Linked DNA regions of Cricetulus griseus. The protein of the gene in region 1 purifies or fractionates together with the protein of each later gene. This does not show direct contact. Links are inferred from orthologs where the notes say so. Each region holds a gene or a part of one and is shown on either strand. Other genes may lie near its edges.

Evidence for each region.
Region 2: the proteins of Cdc27 (region 1) and Anapc13 purify together in Homo sapiens (affinity purification with mass spectrometry; 5 studies listed by BioGRID and IntAct, counting the BioPlex papers as one, with this or other methods). This does not show direct contact. The link is inferred for Cricetulus griseus from reciprocal best matches to the Homo sapiens genes CDC27 and ANAPC13.

Annotation. Positions count from the first base shown.
Region 1 is NC_048600.1:117,569,590-117,579,884, forward strand, and holds the start of Cdc27 (cell division cycle protein 27 homolog), read right to left. Parts: upstream 6,422-10,295; 5' UTR 6,310-6,421; coding exon 6,283-6,309; intron 6,159-6,282; exon of another isoform or gene 5,472-6,158; intron 1-5,471. UniProt on the Homo sapiens protein: Component of the anaphase promoting complex/cyclosome (APC/C), a cell cycle-regulated E3 ubiquitin ligase that controls progression through mitosis and the G1 phase of the cell cycle.
Region 2 is NC_048597.1:210,864,857-210,875,177, reverse strand, and holds Anapc13 (anaphase-promoting complex subunit 13), read right to left. Parts: upstream 6,623-10,321; 5' UTR 6,619-6,622; coding exon of another isoform or gene 6,614-6,618; 5' UTR 6,536-6,613; exon of another isoform or gene 6,413-6,535; intron 6,191-6,412; exon of another isoform or gene 5,925-6,190; intron 4,477-5,924; exon of another isoform or gene 4,328-4,476; intron 2,799-4,327; 5' UTR 2,772-2,798; coding exon 2,673-2,771; intron 2,169-2,672; coding exon 2,043-2,168; 3' UTR 1,931-2,042; downstream 1-1,930. Other genes in the region: Cep63 (centrosomal protein of 63 kDa), read left to right, coding at 6,890-6,988, 9,528-9,565. UniProt on the Homo sapiens protein: Component of the anaphase promoting complex/cyclosome (APC/C), a cell cycle-regulated E3 ubiquitin ligase that controls progression through mitosis and the G1 phase of the cell cycle.

The sequences.
Region 1 (10,295 bases):
TTTTTTGCAGTTTGCTAGCAATCCAATTTCAGGTCCTCATGCTTGTGTAGCAATTCCTTTTGCTGACTGAGTCATTTCCCTAGTCCTACCATCTATTCTGATAATACCAAACTTTTTTTTGGGGGAGGGTAGTAGTTTAAAAAATAAAATAAGTACAGGTTAGGTGAAGATTCTCACAACTACTACGAGGAGATGGAGAAAGGGTGTGTCTACAACTTATTAAGAAGAGAACAGGGGAGCTGGAGAGATGGTTCAACAGTGAAAAACACTTGCTGCTCTTCCTGAGGATTCAAGTTTAGTTTACAAGGCCCACATGGAGCAGCTCACAACCACCTGTTGGATCCAGTTCCATGTGAGCCAACAGCCAAGGAGGAGACCCAAAAGGGAGGTTTTGGAGAAAAAAAGAAAAAGAAAAAAAAGATCCCCACTGCACAAACTGCCTCAAAGTTGTTATGTAGTAGAGAATGCCTTTGAACTCTTTATTTGCTTGCCTTTGCCTCTCACATGCTAGGACTACAGACTTGCACTGCCACAACCGATGATATATATATAATATATATATATATATATATATATATATATGTTTTTTGAGACAGGGTTTCTTTGTGGCTTTGGAGGCTGTCCTGGAATCCACAGAGATCCACCTGTCTCTGCCTCCCGAGTGCTGGGACTAAAGGCATGCGCCGCCACCACCACCACCCGGCTTATTCGTACATTTTAAGACAGATTCTCACTACCTAGGCTGGCTTCAAATTCACAGTCCTGCTTCCATTTCCCAAGTCTTGGGATTCCAAGCATGCCCCACCACACCCAGCTCAATACTTAAAATGTAAACTGTACTCAGATTTAAATACCTGTGACGGACTGAATGACTGACTGACTGAATGAATGAATGTATGAAATAAAGCAAAGCTTATTTCAAGACCAGAAAAGCTAGCTTCATACAATGTAAGGTACAAGAAAGGGAGGGAGGGAGGGTAGAGGGAAAAAGAGAGGAAAGAGGAAAGAACCCTAACAAAAAAATGTCATTGTAGAAATTATCATCTAAATTCTGTAACTCTAGTCTTTACTTATCTGATTGGTTGTTTTATATTTCTGCTTTTGAAGCAGGGTCTCATTTTGCCAAGGCTGATCTCAAAACTTACGACACAGGCCTTAAACTCCCAAGTGATGGGATTTCAGGCATGTTGTCACCATATCCGACTCTATATGATGGTTCTTTATCTAGGTGGTTCTCTGATCCCACATTTAGCCATGTCTGATGGGGGGCATTTTGGACTATTTTAAACGGAGAAGGCATCTGGTAAATAGAGATGCAGTAAAACACTCCTTAATACCCACGTAACCCAATCCACTTTCTCCAAAAAAAAAAAAAAAAAAAATCAGTCCTGACAAAATTTAAAAACCTGATCCACATTACTATGCAGCTGGGTCATCCTACTAGTCTATGTACCGAACTTGTCTTTTCCTCCTTACCAACAAAATCACATCACTATTCCCAACACACTGCTTTTGTTTGTTTGCTTGTGTTTTGTTTGTTTTTTCGAGACAGGGTTTCTCTGTGTCTTTGGAGGCTGTCCTGGAACTCACAGAGATCCACCTACCTCTGCCTCCTGAGTGCTGGGATTAAAGGTGTGCACCACCACCGCCTGGCTCACACTGCTTTCATTACTAATTCTATCAAAATTTTCTTGCAGCCTGGGGTAGTGGTACAAGTTTGTAATCCCAGCACTCCAGAAGCAGAGACAAGAGGATAGTAAGTCATAGGCCTGCCTGCACTAGAAGGGAGTACAAAGCTAGCCCAAGATTTATTATTAATACACTAAATCTAAACCTTTCAGCTTAAATGCTGAGTCTCCTGTAATTTGATTCTGGCTAGTCAAAAACTTCTGTTTTCAACTTCTAGTCTAGTTAAGAATACAATATTTTCACAGGTCAGAATCCCCCCAAAATAGTTTTTGTCCCAGTTAAGAAATGAACTTGCCATAATTAATAAGGGAAAACATTAAAAACAAAAACTTCCTTAAAAAAAAAAAAGAATATTTTACTGTTCTAAGTGATACTCTAAACTTTGGGCTGTTGCTCATGCAATTTCAAGTCAAGAATACACCTCCTCTTTTTTAATTTCTTAGGTTTCAAATTCTAATTGCTCAAAAAGCCAGTCCCCATTTTTTTTTCTGACCTACAAAGCTCTCTCTTTCCTGAATTCCTTTATTAGTATCTATGTAATTAAATGCATAGTTAACATCCAATTGTTCCTGCTAATCATTCTTCATGTTCTCAGGACTAGAACCCAAGATGAGGAATTATGTCTCCATAGTTTCACAAGTTATTTCCAACTTCTTTTCTTCAAAACAGAACATATTTTTTTTTTTTTTTTTTGAGACAGGGTTTCTCTGTGTAGCACTGGCTGTCCTGAAACTCACTCTGTAGACCAGGCTGATCTGCCTGATTCTGCTTTCCAAGTGCTGGGATTAAGGGTGTTCATCACCACCAGGCCAAAACAGAATTCTTAAATGTCTTCTTTTGAATCTGCCCCAATCCTATCTGGTAGAAAAGCATTTATTATTTTTCTAGGGAATTAGTTTTAGCTTGGGGGAGCTATGAATTGTTTTGACACAGCATCTCACTATGCAGCCTTGGCTAGCCTGAATTCACTATGTAGACAGGCTGGCCTTGGACGAACAGAGATCTACCTGCCTTGACCTTACAAGCCTCACAAGTGCTGAGATCAAAAGGCATGTGTCATCACAAGCAGCTGGATTTTTCATTTTTTAAACAGCACCACTGAAATAAAATTCAGGCAGTCATTTTTGATACCAACTCCAGGAAGACAATCCCCTCCCCATGTTTCAATGGTTCTACTTTCCAAGTTATTTCCTGAATTTCTACCTCTAAAACCTTTATCTACCCTTTTCCTGTTCCACTGCTACTCTAGATACCTTTGCTTCTAAGACGACAGGCTTCTCTTGACCATGATGCTTCTCACGTAGCAGCCATAGTATGGTACTCTTTGAAACATTATTAGGTGACACTTGGGGACATCTTATCCCAAGTCAAAAGTACTCTTTCACTATTAAATAAAACTCTAAGCTGGGCGTTGGTGGCGCACGCCTTTAATCCCAGCACTCGGGAGGCAGAGGCAGGAGGATCTCTGTGAGTTCGAGACCAGCCTGGTCTACAAGAGCTAGTTCCAGGACAGCCTCCAAAGCCACAGAGAAACCCTGCCTCGAAAAAACAAAACAAACAAAAAAAGCAACAACAACAACAAAAAACCTCTAAAAGGATGACATGAATTATGGATGGATAATACCCAAACTCCTTTATTTTGTTTTGGTTTTTGAGACATGGATTTATGTAGCTCAGGCAGACCTTGAACTCCTTATCTTCCTGCCTCTAGTTGGAGTTTCAGATGCAGATTAGCATGCAAGGTTCTTCCATCTAGTTCCTCTATTGCACAGTAAAATCATTTTCAAAAGGCTTGTCTACAATTTCATCCAATACATCTGTGAAGCTTCACTTACAGCAATAATTGATACAGCTTTATCAATTGATGCAGCTATATAAAACACCTGCCTCTTAAAACAACAACAGCTTTCAGTGAAATGGCTCAGAGGATAAAGATACTTGTCACCAAGACTGACTGACACACACATGTACACACAGTAAATGAAAGTTAAACAAGACACCATACCAACAAAAAAATGCCACTTTTACAGGCACCCAAATTAGTACTGTGAATGCCTTTAATCCCAGCCAGGGCTACACAGTGAGACTGCCACAAAAATCAATCTGTGCTTTGAAATATCAAAGATTATTTTGTAAAGACTCAAATATAAAGCCAGGTGCCTGTAATTCCAGCACTTGGGAGGCAGAGGCAGGTGGATCTCAAGTGAGTTCGAGGCCAGCTTGGTCTACAGAGAAAGTTCCAGGACAGCTTGGAACTGTCCCACAGAGAAACCCTGTCTCAAAAAACAGAAGACTCAAATATAAAGCAATGTTTTTTCTATGAGTGCTAACTTGGGGAGGGGCTTATATTTAAGTCTATATGGCACATTTCACTGGGTAAAAATTTTAAGGAGGGGGGTAGGAACAAATAGTTGTGCATTATTTCTGTCAACTTTTTCCTGTGCCTAGATCACCAGGAACAAAGTAAAGAAAATATTCTCAACACTATTTTCATCCTGATATATGGAATGAACAATTCTTAAAACAATTATCTTAGCATCTCTTTACTTTTTTCTTTCATACTAGCTCTTTCTCATTTTCAACAGCATTCCTGCTCAAAGTTAGCTAATTTCTCCCACTGCTAACTGCTCCTTTTGTTGTTATTTTGTTTTTGTTTTTTGTTTTTTTTGAGACAGGGTTTCAGATAGCCCATGTTGGCCTTGAACTTGCTCTGTAGCCAAGGATGACCCTGAACTCCTGATCCTCCGGCCAACTATAAATTATTCTCATCCCCTCACACCCCAAAACTTCTTACAATTACCCTAAAATCTAATGGAAAAAGTTATTATGGAGGAGAGGGAGGTAAATTCCACAGTACTTTAAAAACAAACAGGAAACCTGCTGGATTCTATCTTGCTTAAACAATGTATTCTACACTCTCATGGTTTTCTAGAAGTTAAAAATTTTTAAGTAGTAGTTTACATGCTGTAAACTATCATATCACTTTAGAAGCCTTCTGGCTCCAGAAAAGCAGAAAAGTAAGACAAAACTACAATATGAAATAAAAACTAATTATCTGAATAACCTCCTTATCCGTTTAATTTCATGTTAGGCCTCAAAAGGGCCTTTTAAGGGACTCTACACTAGGAAGAGAAATCTGGAAAGAAATGCAGCTTTGGAAGAATTGATACAACATACAGAGACATGGGCTGGGCAGTGGTGGCCCACGCCTTTGATCCCAGAACTCGGGAGGCAGAGGCAGACAGATCTCTGTGAGTTCGAGACCAGCCTGGTCTACAAGAGCTAGTTCCAGGATAGCCTCCAAAGCCACAGAGAAACCCTGTCTTGAAAAACAAAATAAAACAAAAAAAATAAAACAAAAAACATACAAACATATGTTTTATGTACAGTTCCGAAGATATAATCCAGAATTATATTAATTCAAATACTAATAGCTGTCACCATGTAAACATCTGGAGATGAAGTTCAACTAGGGAAACCGTATTTTAGGCTGCGATGAGACATTAAGGAAATGCTGTACTGACGTACTGAAATATTAAATATTTGTTGTCAGTCTTACCTAAGGCAATTCGCAGCAATTTCTAAAATCGGTTTGATTTATAACTTCAAAATAGCTTATGGCTTAATGATTGTAATTTAATGGAGGCCAACTGTGGTCATGTCAAAGATCATACGGTGGAATGAAACATCTCCCAAACCTGGTCCACCACCAAAGGACAATAGGTTCAGTTTCTTCAGATGTGGCAGGGGGGAAAATGACTTGGCACTGCATCACATACTTCAAAACCCAATAGGCTTTCTTCTGACAACAGCACCGTGTGCGTCAATGCATACCTTGGTGTGGTTAAGGAATGGACGAATGGTGAAATGGATGGGAAAGCAATTATCTCTAATTTCCTAAACACCTTCTAAATCAGCACGGTAAAATGCCTCCTGATACCCATCCTAGGTGATGGAAAAAATCCAGACCTGCCCTTTCGTCCACTCCCCTGCTGGGGTGTTTGCCCCGCAGCAGTGGGCCTGGGAGTTCCCTTCTCAGGTCGTCATTGTCCGGTGGGAAATCCACGGAGAACTGTAACGTGGACAAGAAAGTCTGCTCCCGAAACGAAAACCAGTACCGAAAATACGGGTAATTTTACGTCTTCCTTCGACCACCTCACGTAAAACAAAAGCAAGGAAACACCAGTAAACTTGCCCCACGGGTGTGAAATCCCACCAGCTCGGCTCAAAAGCGCTTCTGTGTCGACCCCCGGGACGCCGAGCACTCGGAGCGCCGTCTCGGGCGGCCCCTCGTCTCCCACCGCGGGCAGGAACCCAGACCAACAAGAGGGGGATGGCCGGACGCCAGGACCGACGGAAACGAGTGATTCCCGCCGAACCCGGCTGGCACAACAGGCGAGAAGTAATGCGGGGCCGGGGCTAACCTCGGCTGAGGCCGCGGGCAAGGCCTCGGGAGTGACGAAAGACAGGTAGGGGGCTCGCCGAAAGGGAGGCGGGAGAAGCGGGGCCTAGGCCGCAGCAGGCCGCGGAGTGGCTGCTCGCCGCTTGCGACCCAGGCATGGCGCCAGGCCTCGGAGCAGGCGCTAGTATTACCTGGACAGGTTCCTGCAGCACCGTCATCCTTGAGGCTCAGGCCCACTTTCTGCAGTGCCTCAGGCCCCCCCCGTAGCGACTCCGGCCCGGCCAGCCCCGGCTCATTTAAACTCACCAGCGACCGTTACCGGGGGATGGGGGAGGCCGAGTGGTTGCCGAACTCCTCCGAGCGTGACACGGAAATACCCGAAGTGGAGAGAGCCAAACGAGAGCGAGACGGAAAAGCCCGAGAGATGTCGGAAATACTCGAGGTGAGCCTCCGGAGGCGGAGTCTGTGGCCGGAAATTGGCGAGTGCTACCGGAAGTTGTTGGGTTGGGCCCAATCGGAAGTTCCTCTTCTCAGCCACGCCTTCGCCCTACGCACGCCACGCCCAATTGGCCACGCTAGCTGGGCCACGCCCAAAGAGCTACTAGTAGGATGGGCCTGGAGGGAGGGATCCGGCCGGCCGGAGTTACCTGTGGGACTGTTGGTCGGGGTAAGCGCCTCCGCCGTTCCCTGTTGTGCACGGTAGATTCAGCGAGGGGTAAAATACTAGTCTGGGGCTGAATTCAATAAAGTCTTTTGAGTTTAGGTCATTATCCACTCCTGGAATTCCTACTCAGGCCTCTGAGGAAAATCGAGGGATAATTGGAACATTGCCATTCCCCAAATATATAGGATTCCTGTATTCAAAGAGATACGGTCTGTTGCAAACAAAAACGCCTAGGCTGTGTACTTGCCTAGCATGCATGAAGCCCTAGGGGTGATCGCCAGTGTCACCTAAACATTGCTCTCCTGCTTTGGGAGGCGGACGCAGAAGTATCTAGAGTACAGGATAATTAAGAACAAGATAGCGAGTTTGAGGCAAGCTTGGGCTACCTGACACCCTGGCTCATAATTGAAAAAAAAAAAATCAGTGTAACTGAGAATTTCGTTATTTGCAACTTGTTCTGGGTGATGTAAAACTTCAACTTCAGAGAAGAGGGAAGTAAATAGGGAAATAGGGATTTAAATGATGGCTGTAGTTACAAACACTAACAGAGGGTTTAATGTCTGCTTTTTGGCCACATCCTCAGAATAAACAAAGGAACTATTAAAATCTCCCTTTTCGTCAGACAAGGAAAGCTTCTGAAAGTTAACTTTCTGTTGGGACTCCTCTGAGCTAGATGTGAAACTGGAAATCTCCTTTTTCCCCTGGATACTGAGGATCTAACCTCTCATTACTGGTAGGCTAAGCAAGTGATCAACAATTGAGCTACATCTCCAGCCCTCTTGTTACTTTTTTTTGTTTTGTTTTTATTTTAAAGTATTGAAGGTACCCAGGCTGTCTTTGAACTTTTAAAACCTGCCTCAGCCTCTCAGACTACCGCTGGCACCAGTCCTGGTTCTGGGAATCAATCAATCTCAGTCCCCCAGCCCCTCATTTCCACATTGTGTACAGATGATACAGTTAGCATTGTCATTTTAGAGATGCTGGGGGTTAGTCATCTAATGGTAGCCATCCTTTTCCTCGTCCCCCTTTCCTTCTAATAGATCCAACTGTCTCCAGACATTGCCTACATACTTGTTAGTCCCATGAAAGATGGGTGCTAAGGCAATTTCCAGCCGGCCCATGCCCTGTTCTTTTAATGGGATTGTGTTGGATGAATTAGAGTGGGAATAAACATCCGTGCTGGCCTATATAACAGTTGCTCACTATTTAAAGTTCAGTTTAAACCAAATGAAATTCTTCAGATATTCTAGTCACATCCCAAAGACCTAAGTCATTGACATAACTAGAGTTGTTATTGAAATAGCTAGAATTGGAGGACAACTTTACCCGTGAGTCTAAGGTCTTGCTAATATCTGGGCCTCTCGATTCTCCCCAACAAAACCTTTTTCTTCATACAGTGATTGCTCACCAGTCAGTGGCCTATCCTAGCTTGAATTGGTGTCTGTCAAGCAAGTCAGTGAAAACAGAAGCTTTGAGGCCCCTTCAAGCCTAGATCTGAAAGTCAAATCCATTGTTGGTCAATTTAAGACACAGGATCAGCCTGGATTTACCAGGAAAACATGCTCCATCTCTTGATGAGGGAATAGCAAAGCAACTCTGCAAAAGATATGCGCAATGAGAGGGATTGGTGGGTCATCTTTGATCCCCCACCACCACCTGGTACATTGATTTCTCCCCACCCCCATAATTTTGCAAATGCTAGGCAAACACTACCATTGAGGTCCCCCATCAGCTCCAGCCATCCTTGGAAATGGAGTCTGGCTGGGTGGTGGTGGCAGTGGTGCACGCCTTTAATCTCAGCACTCGGGAGGCAGAGGCAGGTGGATCTCTGTGAGTTAGAGACCAGCCAGGTCTACAAGAGCAAGTGCCAGGATAGGCTCCAAAGCCACAGAGAGACCCTGTCTCGAAAAACAAAACAAACAAACAAAAAAAACAAAAACAAACAAACAAAAAAACCAAAAAAAAAAAAAAAAAACCAAAAAAAAGAAAGAAAGAAAAAAACTCCCTCCCAGACATTCCCAGAGGCTCATTTCCATGGTCCGGTTACTTTAAATCCTGTCCTGTTGCCATCAAGATGAACCATCACTGATTATTAATTATTTGGAAACATTTATTAAAACAATCCAAAGCTGTGTTAAAACAACCCAAAGCTGTGTTTGCATGCTGTAGCAACCACACAACATGATTAATGTTGCATTTGTGGTTACTTTTATACACTGAGCTCTTCTGTCACATAAGGTGTATCAACTCAAGTCTTGACTTATATATTGGAGTTTTGTAAACCTATTGTAGATTTACCACAGAGGAGGTGGATTTTGAGCTTAGAATCTCATTTTTCCAAAGCTCCTGTCCCCCCCCCCCCCAAAAAAAAGAAAAGAACAAGAACATCTGGGGCTAGAGAGCTAGCTCAGTCAGTAAGAGCTTGTCTTATAAGCATGAAGACCTGAGTTTAGTCCCTAGGACTCATGGCACACAATTACAATCCCAGGGCTGGGGCCACAGAGACAGGCATATCACTGGAACTCACTGGCCAGCCAGCTTAGTCTCCAAGTCAATGTGAAGCCCTGTGCCAAAAAAAAAAAAAAAAAAAAAAAAAAAAAAAAAAAAAAAAAAAAAAAAAAAACGAAGGTGGAGCCAGGCATGACTGTATATGCCTTTAATACTAGCACCAGGGAGGCAGAGGCAGGCAGAACCCTGTGAGTTTCAGGTTAGGGTGTTCTATATAGCCTAGGTGAGACAGGGCTGTATGGTGATACCTGGTCTCTGAAATAAAAACCAAACCAAACCACCGTCCCCCTCAAAAGAAACAAAAAATTAAAAAATCCAAACCAAACCTAACCAAAACCCCAACAAAACAAACAAAAAATTCCCACCAAGGTGGATAGTGCTTGGAAATAACACTGGAGACCTCCATATACCCGAGAGTTGGAGACAGGAGAATCAGGAGTACAAAGTTATCATTGGCTACATAGCAACTCAGAGGCCAGCCTGGGCTACAGGAGACCCTGTATCAAGAAACCAAGCAAAGAAAGAAAGCCAGACACAGTAGTCGGGTCCTTCGGGAAACAGCTTAGAGCACACCCAGCAAGTGTATTCTTTTTCTGAGTGTTGTCACTTGCCACCTTCAGCTGGCATCTTGTTCCTGCCATGTAAGATCCTATGCCCTGTTTATCTTCCTTGACCTCAAGGCTTCTCCCACCTCATCATGTTTTTTCCTTCCTCTTACTCATCCTCTGTGGCTTTGATAACATAGCCCTCTGTTGATACTCCCTCCCCCACTGCTGGTTTTTGTTTTTTGTTTTTTGTTTTTCAATCTCCTTTGCAGTGCCCTACCAGCTTGACATTTGAGGGCTTCAAGGGACCTGTTTTAGCCTTTTCCTTACCCTACATATTATTCGTCCTAGGCAAATTTGCCTATTTTTGTGGCATCTGTTTTTTTTGTTTTGTTTTGTTTTGTTTTCTTTTTTTGAGACAGGGTTTCTCTGTGTAGCTTTGGAGCCTATCCTGGAACTAGCTCTTGTAGACCAGGCTGGCCTCAAA
Region 2 (10,321 bases), on another chromosome or scaffold:
CGCACTCATCTCCCCATCCCCGACTCCCGCATCTGCTCTCCACTCTTGCAACCTCCCCACCAAAACAAAAGTTAAAAGAAAAACCAAAACTAAACCAGACCAACAAAGCAAAAGGAGGAAGAGAAGGAGGAGGAGGAGGAAGAAGGAAGAAGAAAAGAAGAAGAAGAAGAAGAAGAAGAAGAAGAAGAAGAAGAAGAAGAAGAAGAAGAAGAAGAAGAACTATTTTGTTTCAGAAGCTATGGTGTCTTCACCCTTCAGTTCTTTCATCTTCATTTGCAAGCCAGAACTCTAGTTTTTTAAAAAGTGAGTTTTTGAAATTACCTTAGTTGAAAATTTTATCCCCAGACAATTATCTCTTCTACTAGCCTGTCTTTAGTTATTGAAGGGATGGATGGTGCCATGGGTCTTACTTCCGATGATTCCCAGGCAGGGTCACTGAGGCAGAATGCCTGGGTCAGAGGAAAGCTGCTATAACCAAATTTCTGGCTGAAATTGTGCATGCAGCTCATTTGTTTTGTGATACCCTCTTTTTTCTGAAAGCTATAAAGACAAAGGCCAGTGAGGGGTGAGAATAGATAAGTCTAGTGGGTAAATATGCAGGAGTGTTTTGGCAAATCACCGATTCTTTTTTAAAATAAGATTTATGGGGGCTGGAGAGATGGCTCAGCGGTTAAGAGCACTGGCTGTTCTTCCAAAGGTCCTGAGTTCAATTCCCAGCACTCACATAGTGGCTCACAACCATCTGTAATGAGATCTGGCACCCTCTTCTGGCCTGCAGGCACAACAATGTACATGTAATAAATAAATAAATTTTTAAAAACAACAAATAAATGTCTGTAGAATATTCCCACTTCCTCATTTAAAAAAAGAAAAAAAAGATTTATTTTTATGTGCGTCTTGCCTACATGCACCTCACATGTGCAGCCTCCTCACAGGCCAGAAGAGGGGAAGGGAACCCCTGGAACTGGGGTCATAGACAGGTGTGAGCTAATATGTGAACACCAGGAACTGAACACCAGGAACTGAACCCAGAAAGTGCTCTTAACCACTTGAGCCATCTATCCAGGCTGTTTGTATATAAATACAGTACTGGTCAGCCCATGCAGGGAGTGACACATGCCTTTTATCCCAGCACTCAGAAAGTAGAGGCAGGGGGATCTCTATGTTTGAGACTAGCCTGGTGTACAGAGTGAGTTCCAGGACAGTGAAGGCTACACAGAGAAACCCTGTCTTGAAAAACCAAAATAAACAAAGGAAGTAACTAAGTAAGTACTGGCTACCGGCTCTGAGGTGGTTTATACTTGAAGTGGCTCTGAGATAAGAGAACCATTACTATTCTGAATAAAAGGAGTACTCCATTCAAATGGAGACCCTGGCCAGTGGCCCAAAGGCCACACCCACAGACAGGGAGCAGAGGTAACTAACCATGAACCCAGATAACCACCACCACATGACATCATGCTACTCAGCCCAGTTTTTAGTGGAGTTCTAGGGATCAAACTTTTTAATCTGTACATTTATGCAGAGCCTGAAAATAGCCTGGTGATCTTAGGAGTGAATGCCAGTCACCAGTGAGTGGGGTATCTGCTTGGGGCTCACGCACCTGCGGGCTACCTCCACTCAACGCTTCTCAGGTGTGACACACATACTGGTCTGTGAGTCTCTTTCCGTCTGACTTTCTCTGTGTCTTTCCCACTCATATTTTCAACTCCCTGTGCCAGAGGACACATGGAAGTGGCTGGGAAGTGTTAAACGTTGACTGAAGTGACACTGGAACTAAAGGCAAATGTGACTGGACTGTGTTCAAACACTAGTGAGTGAATGACTAATCGTTGGCTTCGGGAGCCAATAGTCTGCATTCTGAGAAGTCTCAGTTTCTCACTGAGAACATTTTCATGCTGCACTTTGTTGTTAACAAATCAAGCGGGTGCCCATTTTTGAGTGTTGATTTATTATGCAAAGATCTGAATTCGGAGACAGAGAAGAAACATGCTTTATCTACGTATTTTTGAAAACTCCATCCAAGGGAAAGGAACCTAGTGTCAGTTTCCAGCAGGTGGGACGTTCTCATGGAGGCACTGCAAGGCCAGGTCTGTCCACTTCATCTCCTGTTCTTTCACAGACTCTGTGGTGCCGCCGTTGTCCTGCTCAGGCTCTGGAAGCTCGCTCTGAAAGGGAAGGACACCCACAACAACCATGAGTTTTTCTTTCTGTACATTTTTGAGATGGCTCTCATGTAGCCTAGGCTGATCTCAAACTATGTCATCTTGAACACTGCTTTCGCACTGGTAGGGACTGAGCTCAGGGGCCTCACACATGCTACCCAAGCATCCTATCACTATGCCACACTCTCAGCCAATCACCTGGAACTCTCCTAACTTCCTTTGCCTCCCAGGAGCTGGAGTTACAGGTGTGGACCTGGTGTTGACTAGTTACTTCTGAAAACAGAGCACATGGCTCTGAAAATCTGGGCTCCAGCACTAAAATGACCACTAAGGTGGTCATATCAGCTGGTTCTCTGAGCCATGAAGAGATGAACTAGTTGTTCTTCAGAGGCTTCTAGATTTGAAGGATGCCACAGTGTGGATTTCTGGGGCCTAGTATTTCACCTTCCAGCAGCCTCCACACATTTCATCTCTGACTCATTGTCCTGAGCTTGGATCATGACCTACCAGTGGGATTGCAACATCCTCGTATGGTAGCTTGTCTTCCCGCCAAGCGTCATCAATCAAATCCAAGATCCTTCCATCCCGTTGTACCTCACTGTCCATTTTCCTGCAGCTTTGGTCTTGTCAGTTCTGTAGGCCAAAGAGGTCATGATGAGGGTGCAGTATAACCCAGGACCAGGACTCCCCATACTTTTAACTTGAAACTGGTGTTGTTATTGTTGTTTGTTTCTTAACATCACCTCAGGAAAGGCCCATTTTATATGGGTCAGGTGACAACATAAAAGATCACAGTTCTTTCCTCTTCAGCTGACAGATGCTTGATAGTGTGAAGATGCAGTCTAGTTGACAGACAAGTTCCCAGTGTAACAGAGAGCAATACATTTCTGAACAAAGCCCTGGAAGGCCCTTCGTCTAACTGTTGCTTTCTTTACAATCGTATACAGTTTTTCCCTGTTTGTAATGCCTTTGACGAGTCTCATCTCCTGCTCCCCAAGCCCGCCCCCATGATTTGGCACAAATCTCCATCTGCCTTGGCTCACACCTTGGCATGGGAGCATGACCTTGACATGCGAGGTGACACTGAGATGGAATGTGTAAAGTGACCAACCATAGACCAGCTGCTAACCCTTAAACAGGAACAATGTGGGCAGCTGGGCTTACTCAGGAAACCACTTCCTTTCTTAAACAGCAGCCAGCCTGAGCTCTAAAAGTAATATGCCATGATCAACAGTGGCAGCTCCAGGTTCTGTGTCCCTCTGGGCTTCCTCTTCCTCCTCCTCTCTCTTTCTTGTTTTTGCATACAGGTTTCTCTGTGTAGCCCTGGCTGTCCTGGAATCTCTGTAGTTCAGGCTGGCCTTGAACTCACAGAGATCCGCCTGCCTCTGCCTTCTGAATGTTGGGATTATACGTGTGCACCAGAACTGCCCAGCCCTCTTCCTCTTTTTTGAGACAGAGCTTCAAACCCTGTAGCCAAAAGCCTCAGTAAGCTCCTAACCCTCCTGCCTCCACCAGTGGGATGATAGGCATGTGGCATCATATCTGCTTTATGATGCACTGGGAATTGAATCAGGGCTTTTTATGTACTAGTTAAGCACCCTACCAACTGACCTACATCCCCAGCCGAGGCGGGCCCTGCAGTTATCCAGGCAGGGAAGCCAACTGTGAAGAAATGAGAATGAAAACAGGGCTCAGATTGGCTATGGGGAGTCTGATGCCAGTTGGTTTATTCTCAACAAATTTAAATACAGTATAATTTGGAAAAAAGTGTCTCAGTGTAATACAATCCCCAGTGCACAAGGAAGTGTAATTACAACAAAACTTGACTCAGGGTTTATATGAGAAATATATTCATTGGAAGAAATATGTCATTTCTTCCAAGAAGCTGGTTTCTACAGCTAGGCTACCTATATTAGCTTAAGTGCCTAAAAAAGGGTCTGGTCTGGTCTAGGTCTCAGTCATACAGATAGCACAGAGGACATCTGGACTTTTAGCCACCCATGGTGTTGGTTGTGGGTGCTTGGGGGGGGGGTCTCTGGCTAGACAGATAATGTAAGGGTCATTTAGACTATTAGGTTATCTCTGGTCCTGGTTGTGGGAGCTTGATATGGCTGGCCCAACAGATAACACTGATTACCATGCTATTAACCATTTCCAATTACCAGCTTCCTAGAAGGAAGAACAGGTTTTCCATCTTTCCCATTCTAAAGAAAATCCTGCATTCTGAACATTCCTAGTCTCCCTGGAGATCTGTAGGTGCAAGGATCTTGGTGTTGTGTTCCCAACACTCAACCCTCTTCCTCCTAAAAAACAAAACATTTATTTGTGTATGTATATGCGGGAGTCAAAGGACATCTTGGGGTGAATGGTTCTCTTCTTCCACGAGGTGGGTCCCAGAGACTAAACTCAGGTGCCACACTTGGCAGGGAATGCCTTTATGCCACTGAGCTATCTTGCTGGCTCTCTTCAGTGCCTGGTCCGAGAGCTTCCTGACCATAGATGACTCCTCAGTTTTCTCCCGAGACAGCTGCAATAATTCACAAGACTGGTCATCACAAACAAGCCCAACTGTACTCCCTGCCACTAAGTGCCAACCCAAAGCAGGCCTTGAAACTACTAGCACACTGCTCTCTCAGGGACTCCTCTGTTTCTGAGAGAAGGGAGACTCATGTAAAAAACAAGCTTTGGTATTGGAGTCTAACTTTGCCATACAAGTATGTGCTTGCCTCCAACAGTATTCAAGGCAAGCTAGCATTATTCATCTAGTTTGGGGGTGGAGAATGGCTTTTACTTTCAAACATTAAACAGAGGGGGCTTGGGAGACAACTCAGTGGGTAAAGTGCTTGCTCTGCAAGCAAGGATACCCAAATTCAGATTGCTGGTATTCACATAAAAAGCCTGGCACAATGGCATGCACTTCCATCCCAGAGGTGGGAGGCAGAGAGGGGAAGACCTCTGGGAGAGACTGCCAGACAGCTGAACAGAAAGCTCACAGGCTTAGTGAAAGACTCAAAGTGGAAGCGATAAGAGGAACACACTGGTGCTGACCTCTGGCCTCTACACTCACCCCTCACTCCACCTCTAGGCACAAACTTCACTACCATCAAGTCATGCACACACAATGAAGCAAAAGGTGGCCAGTACCTCCTGCCACCTAGGAACCAGGTGACTGCTTATCTTTTTTTTTTTTTTTTTTACACTTAGATTTAACTGCCTCTAGCCAGTGGATAATGCAGAGCTAGCTGCAGAAACGTAAAACTAATCCTTCCTGTCAGTTCCAGCCACACTTCCAGAATCCCACAAGTTTTCTAACTTTCTTGTCACTCCTTTGTTCTTGGAGCTATGTCTTGGGCTACCTTTGACACTTCTCCCACTGATTTTCTCAGGTCTATACAGGTTTTCTGTCCTCCAACGCTTGCTGTTTGCCTTAACTAATCTATGAGAAGTTAGGTCGGCTTTGTGACTGACGGGTAGGGTACTTCTGTCTCCAGTGGTAATGTGTAACAGCTGTACCAATGATTCCCGATCTTTCCACAAGTCGGCCTCAACATTTTGCAACATGTCCCTCTTCTATACGCTTGCAACCCGGCATGCTTTTCATCCACCTCCTGCACGTCTTCATCGGTAATGTTTGGCCATCCTTCCAAACCCAACGCGGATGACAGATCTTTGGGTGGGGCACTCGGGTTCTCCCTTTACATAAACAAAGAAGCAAGCACAGGCGATGCCCAAGCTACGGCCACTGCTCCAATCCCTTACCGCATATTATAACTTCTCCGGGTTACTTAAATATATATTTTTACACGCGTACTCTTCTCTTTTCTAGCGCAATCCTCACGCCCAACACAACTCTCAACTCTCAGGTTGTCTCCTTTAGACCCCAGGCCCTTCTCTTCACCAGTCCCCTAGATCTCTGGGGACAGTGCGTGACAACAGGGGAGCTTATGGCACTGTCCAGACATCTCCTTCTAGCTATTAGACGCGTACGTCTTATGCATTTTCGAAATCGACAGCTTTGTGAATGTATTTCTAAGCTAAAAGCACGGCGCAGACACTAAATTTGGTCCTCACGGGCCACCATCCCGAGTCACGAGACGCAGAGACGGTCGCCGCCGCCGCCGCAGCTTCCGGCCCGAAGGCTGGAGATAGCATATGCGGAAGTGGAAAGGGGAGGTGGAGCGTCGCCAAGCGGGCATCCTTCCGCTCCGCACGGCGTGCAATAAGAAAGTGGCTCTGAAGGTCAGCACCTGCCTGCACTTCTGGAAGCACTGGACGCCCGGAGCCTGGTGCGAACGCGGGGACACTCTGCGAAACCCGGGCCGCCGGCGCGGGAAGGAAGGAAAAAAAAACAAAAAAAAAAAACCCCTTACCCACAGCGCGCGAATCGGCTTCCTCCCGGCCCCGCCCTTTCTCCCGGCCACGTGACCCGCGGCGCCCGCATACCCCGTATGTGGTGAGTCCATCGCTGCTGGGAGGGGAGGGGGCGGGGACGGGGGGGGACGAACGTCAATTGTTGGGCGCGCGCGCCCCCGAGGAACGGCGAGCAGGCCCCGGGTGCGCGCTCCGCCGGGGACGCGCTCCGCCGGGGACGCGCTCTGTAACCGCCTGCGTGCCCCAAAGACCGGCGAGCCGCGGCTTGTTGTGGTGCGGACGCGGCCCTGGCCACCGTGGTGCCGCTAGTTTCCCGGCCGCATGGCCCGCGGCCGCTGTCCGTCGATTCCCACATGCAGCCGGACCCTCTACTGTTTGCCTGCGGCTGCCCGGGCACCGCACCCGTGGGTCTCTCCGACTACTCCATGTGCAGCTCGGTGCCGGCCAGCCAGGTGCTGCGGCCTCGGCGGAGGCGGGCGTGCGGGCGGGCGGGCGGGCTGCGGGCTTTAGGGTCAGCGGCTCAGCGGGAAACCCTGGTGATGTTAGTAGGAGAGGAGCGGAAGCGTGGCGGGAATCGCAGATGGCCTCATGCTTAAAGAAGTCAAGCATCGGGAACCAGATTGGGAGAGTGGAAGTTTGGAAAGGGCAGTTCCATAACGCTTGAACCACGGAGACGCTTGGCAGCGAATCTGGATTGCAAATAGGGCTTTTGCCCTGTAACAAAATCGCGCAGTTAGAGCAGGCTGTTGTCTCATTGGTAGACTTTACCCTTGCCCCAAAATACACCCTCCCTACTCAGCGTCTGCTCTCCCTCCAAGTCAGGGTCTTACTATGAAGCCCCGACTGAGCACGCCTTTAATCCCAGCATTTGGGAGGCAGAGGCAGGTAGATCACTGTGAGTTCGAGGCCAGCCTGGTCTACAAAGCGAGTTCCGGGACAGCCAGGGCTGCTACAAAGTAACGCAGAGAAAACCTGGGGAGGGAGGGGGAGGAGGGGAGAAAAACCCTGACTGGCCAGGAACTCACTATGTAGAACAGACTGTCCTCAAACTCGCAGAAATGGGCCTGCCTCTGCCTCCTGGGTTAAGGACCTGGTGCCACCTCGACTGGCTTTTCTAAGCTGTCTTTCTTGAGGCTAATTTAGATTTTTAAAAATTTATTTAGCAAAGCAGGGTAGGCGCTCAACTTCTCGTATACCTACATTTAGTTTTAATTTTGTATTTAGTTTATATTTTGTATTTAAGTAAAGGATCAATGAATATAAATTATCTTTAGCTATTTACACCTACTCTTCATGGTGTGTGTGTGTGTGTGTGTGTGTGTGTGTGTGTGTGTGTGTGTGTAATAGCCCTAGCTGTCCTGGAACTCGCCTTACAGACCAGGCTGGCCTCGAACTCAGATCCACCTGCGTCTGCCTCCCGAGTGCTGGGATTAAAGGCATGCACCACCATGACAAGCTACACTTACTGTTAAAGTCTGTAGCTTAATGTATAACAAAACAAGTTTTCTTATTTGGAATTCAGCACCATCTTTAGGTTAATTTTTGTCCCATGTTCTTTGTCTTTTATTGATCAGTAAAGGAGGCTGTAAAACTAAAATGGGTTAAATGGGTTAGAGATTTACAAACTCACATACACAGCCATTTAAAATGTGTGCATACTGAAGTTTTTTTTTTTTTTTTTAAAGATTTTATTATGTATACAACATTCTGCTTCCATGTATATCTGCACACCAGAAGAGGGCACCAGATCTCATAACAGATGGTTGTGAGCCACCATGTGGTTGCTGGGAATTGAACTCAGGTCCTCTGGAAGAGCAGTCGGTGCTCTTAACTGCTGAGCCATCTCTCCAGCCCGAATACTGAAGTTTTAAGGACAATATAGATATTATTAATTATGACAATGTTGCTTCCTCCCATGGAGCAGTAGAGGACCGTTACTTAGCCTTTCTGCTCTCACCTACTGTGTATGAGCTGACAGTGACAGCATTAGTCCAAACTGTCATAGCTAATATGCTCCCCACCCCATGGCTGTCATAGCTAAGATGCTTCCCATGCCAAGGGCTAGATTTGCTTTTATAAAACCATAGTACTACTTTTATAGCAGTACAAATTTGTAAAAAAAATACACAATGTCAGTATCCAGTGGGATCAGGTTTCTCCAGCTACTCCACATGTGCTTGCAATACCTTGTTTGGATCAAAATTCTGCAGAGAACTGTCTGCTTCATTGGTTTGCCAGGCATTTAAATCCTCTAGCAATAGCTGCTTCTTAACCTCCCATTCCTCTTTACCATTTAAAAATTAGCTGGTTGTGTGTAGTTTTGAACACTCGTCTCTACTTCACCTATGACCTCTACTCCACTGGCTGAATCCTGAGTTACACTGTCCAGTATGGTCGTCATCAGATAGCCGTGCTGTTTTAAATGAAATAAATAATTGGTTCCCCAGTTGCATTAGTCACCTTTGAAACACCCAGCAGTCACAGGTTGCCTAGTGGCTGCTGCTTGAGTAATACAGATAAAAATGTTTCCATAATCACAGAAAGTTCTGTTGAAATACAGTGATCAGAAGTGTTAGATTCAACTTTTTTTTTTTTTTTTTTGATAGGAAGTGCAAGAAAAAAAGCCATAGGTGTAGGTTCTATATTATGAAAATTATCTGTTGCATTCATTATCAGGGTGACATTTAATGTCTGAGTCATCCTATCTGGGATGTTACAGTTGAGCTGTGTAGAGTGGTTCCTGTGCTATCAGTTCAGCTGACCCACCATGAAATTGTTCAAGAGCCTTTCAGTTAATAGGGATACCTTTCTTTCATGGCTAGCAGTGCCTGGGTCTGTTACTGCACCACAGCCACAGAGTGGTGGTTTCTAATTGTGTCTTGTCTGGCACTTTGCTGAAGAACTTGCCTCCCATAACTGTCTGACTGCCCTGAAATACAGTTGGGACAGGAATGGCAAGAAAAATGCTTAACTCTGTTCCTTTCTTTTCAGACTACAGCAATGACTTGGTGGCCTGGCAACCTTCAAAGGTAACCTGAAGGCTTTACCTTTAAAACCAACAGATAGACTTTAATATGTTTAAAACTGTGGCCTAGCAACCTCCTGAGTTAACCTGAGGGCTTTGCCTTTAAAAACAAACCATTAGACTTTAATGTGTTTAAACTGTTAGAACATACTGCAATTTTTTTGATACCTCAAATTGTTTTGTTTTTAGCCAGTGGGAACCCTTCAAGACCCATAGTTTTGATAGCTTCCTTCTTCTGGTTTTGCTTTAGTTGGGTTTTATATAGCCCAGGCTGGCCTTGAACTTGCTCTGTAGCCAAGGTTGATCTTGAACTTATGATCTTCCTGCCTCCATTTCCCAAGTGCTAGGATTACGGATGTGAGCGCCATGTCCAGCTCAGTACTGCTTCTTTTCCTTTTTATGTGTGAGTTATCAAAACATCATCATAGTCCCTATAAAACAACATAAATCCAGACTTGCGGGGAGCAGCTTGGCTTTAGCCCCATCTCCTCTGCCTTGATTGTTCCTCTCCTCATAGGTGTAGTGCTTCTCAGTTTGTTCTCAGTAAATAAGTACTCCAAGACAAACACACTTCTTTTTACTGTTTGTATCTTGCTGCTTTTACCTTCTAACAGATCACTCCACAAGGGACGTTGTGACTGTTACCTCTTTTTACAGCTTCATAGTATTCCCTCAGTGAATGAATGTATAGTGATTTTTTGTTGTTTATAAGTAATGCTGCAGGGAATGCCCTTTATACACCTCGTTTTGTATTTTTCCA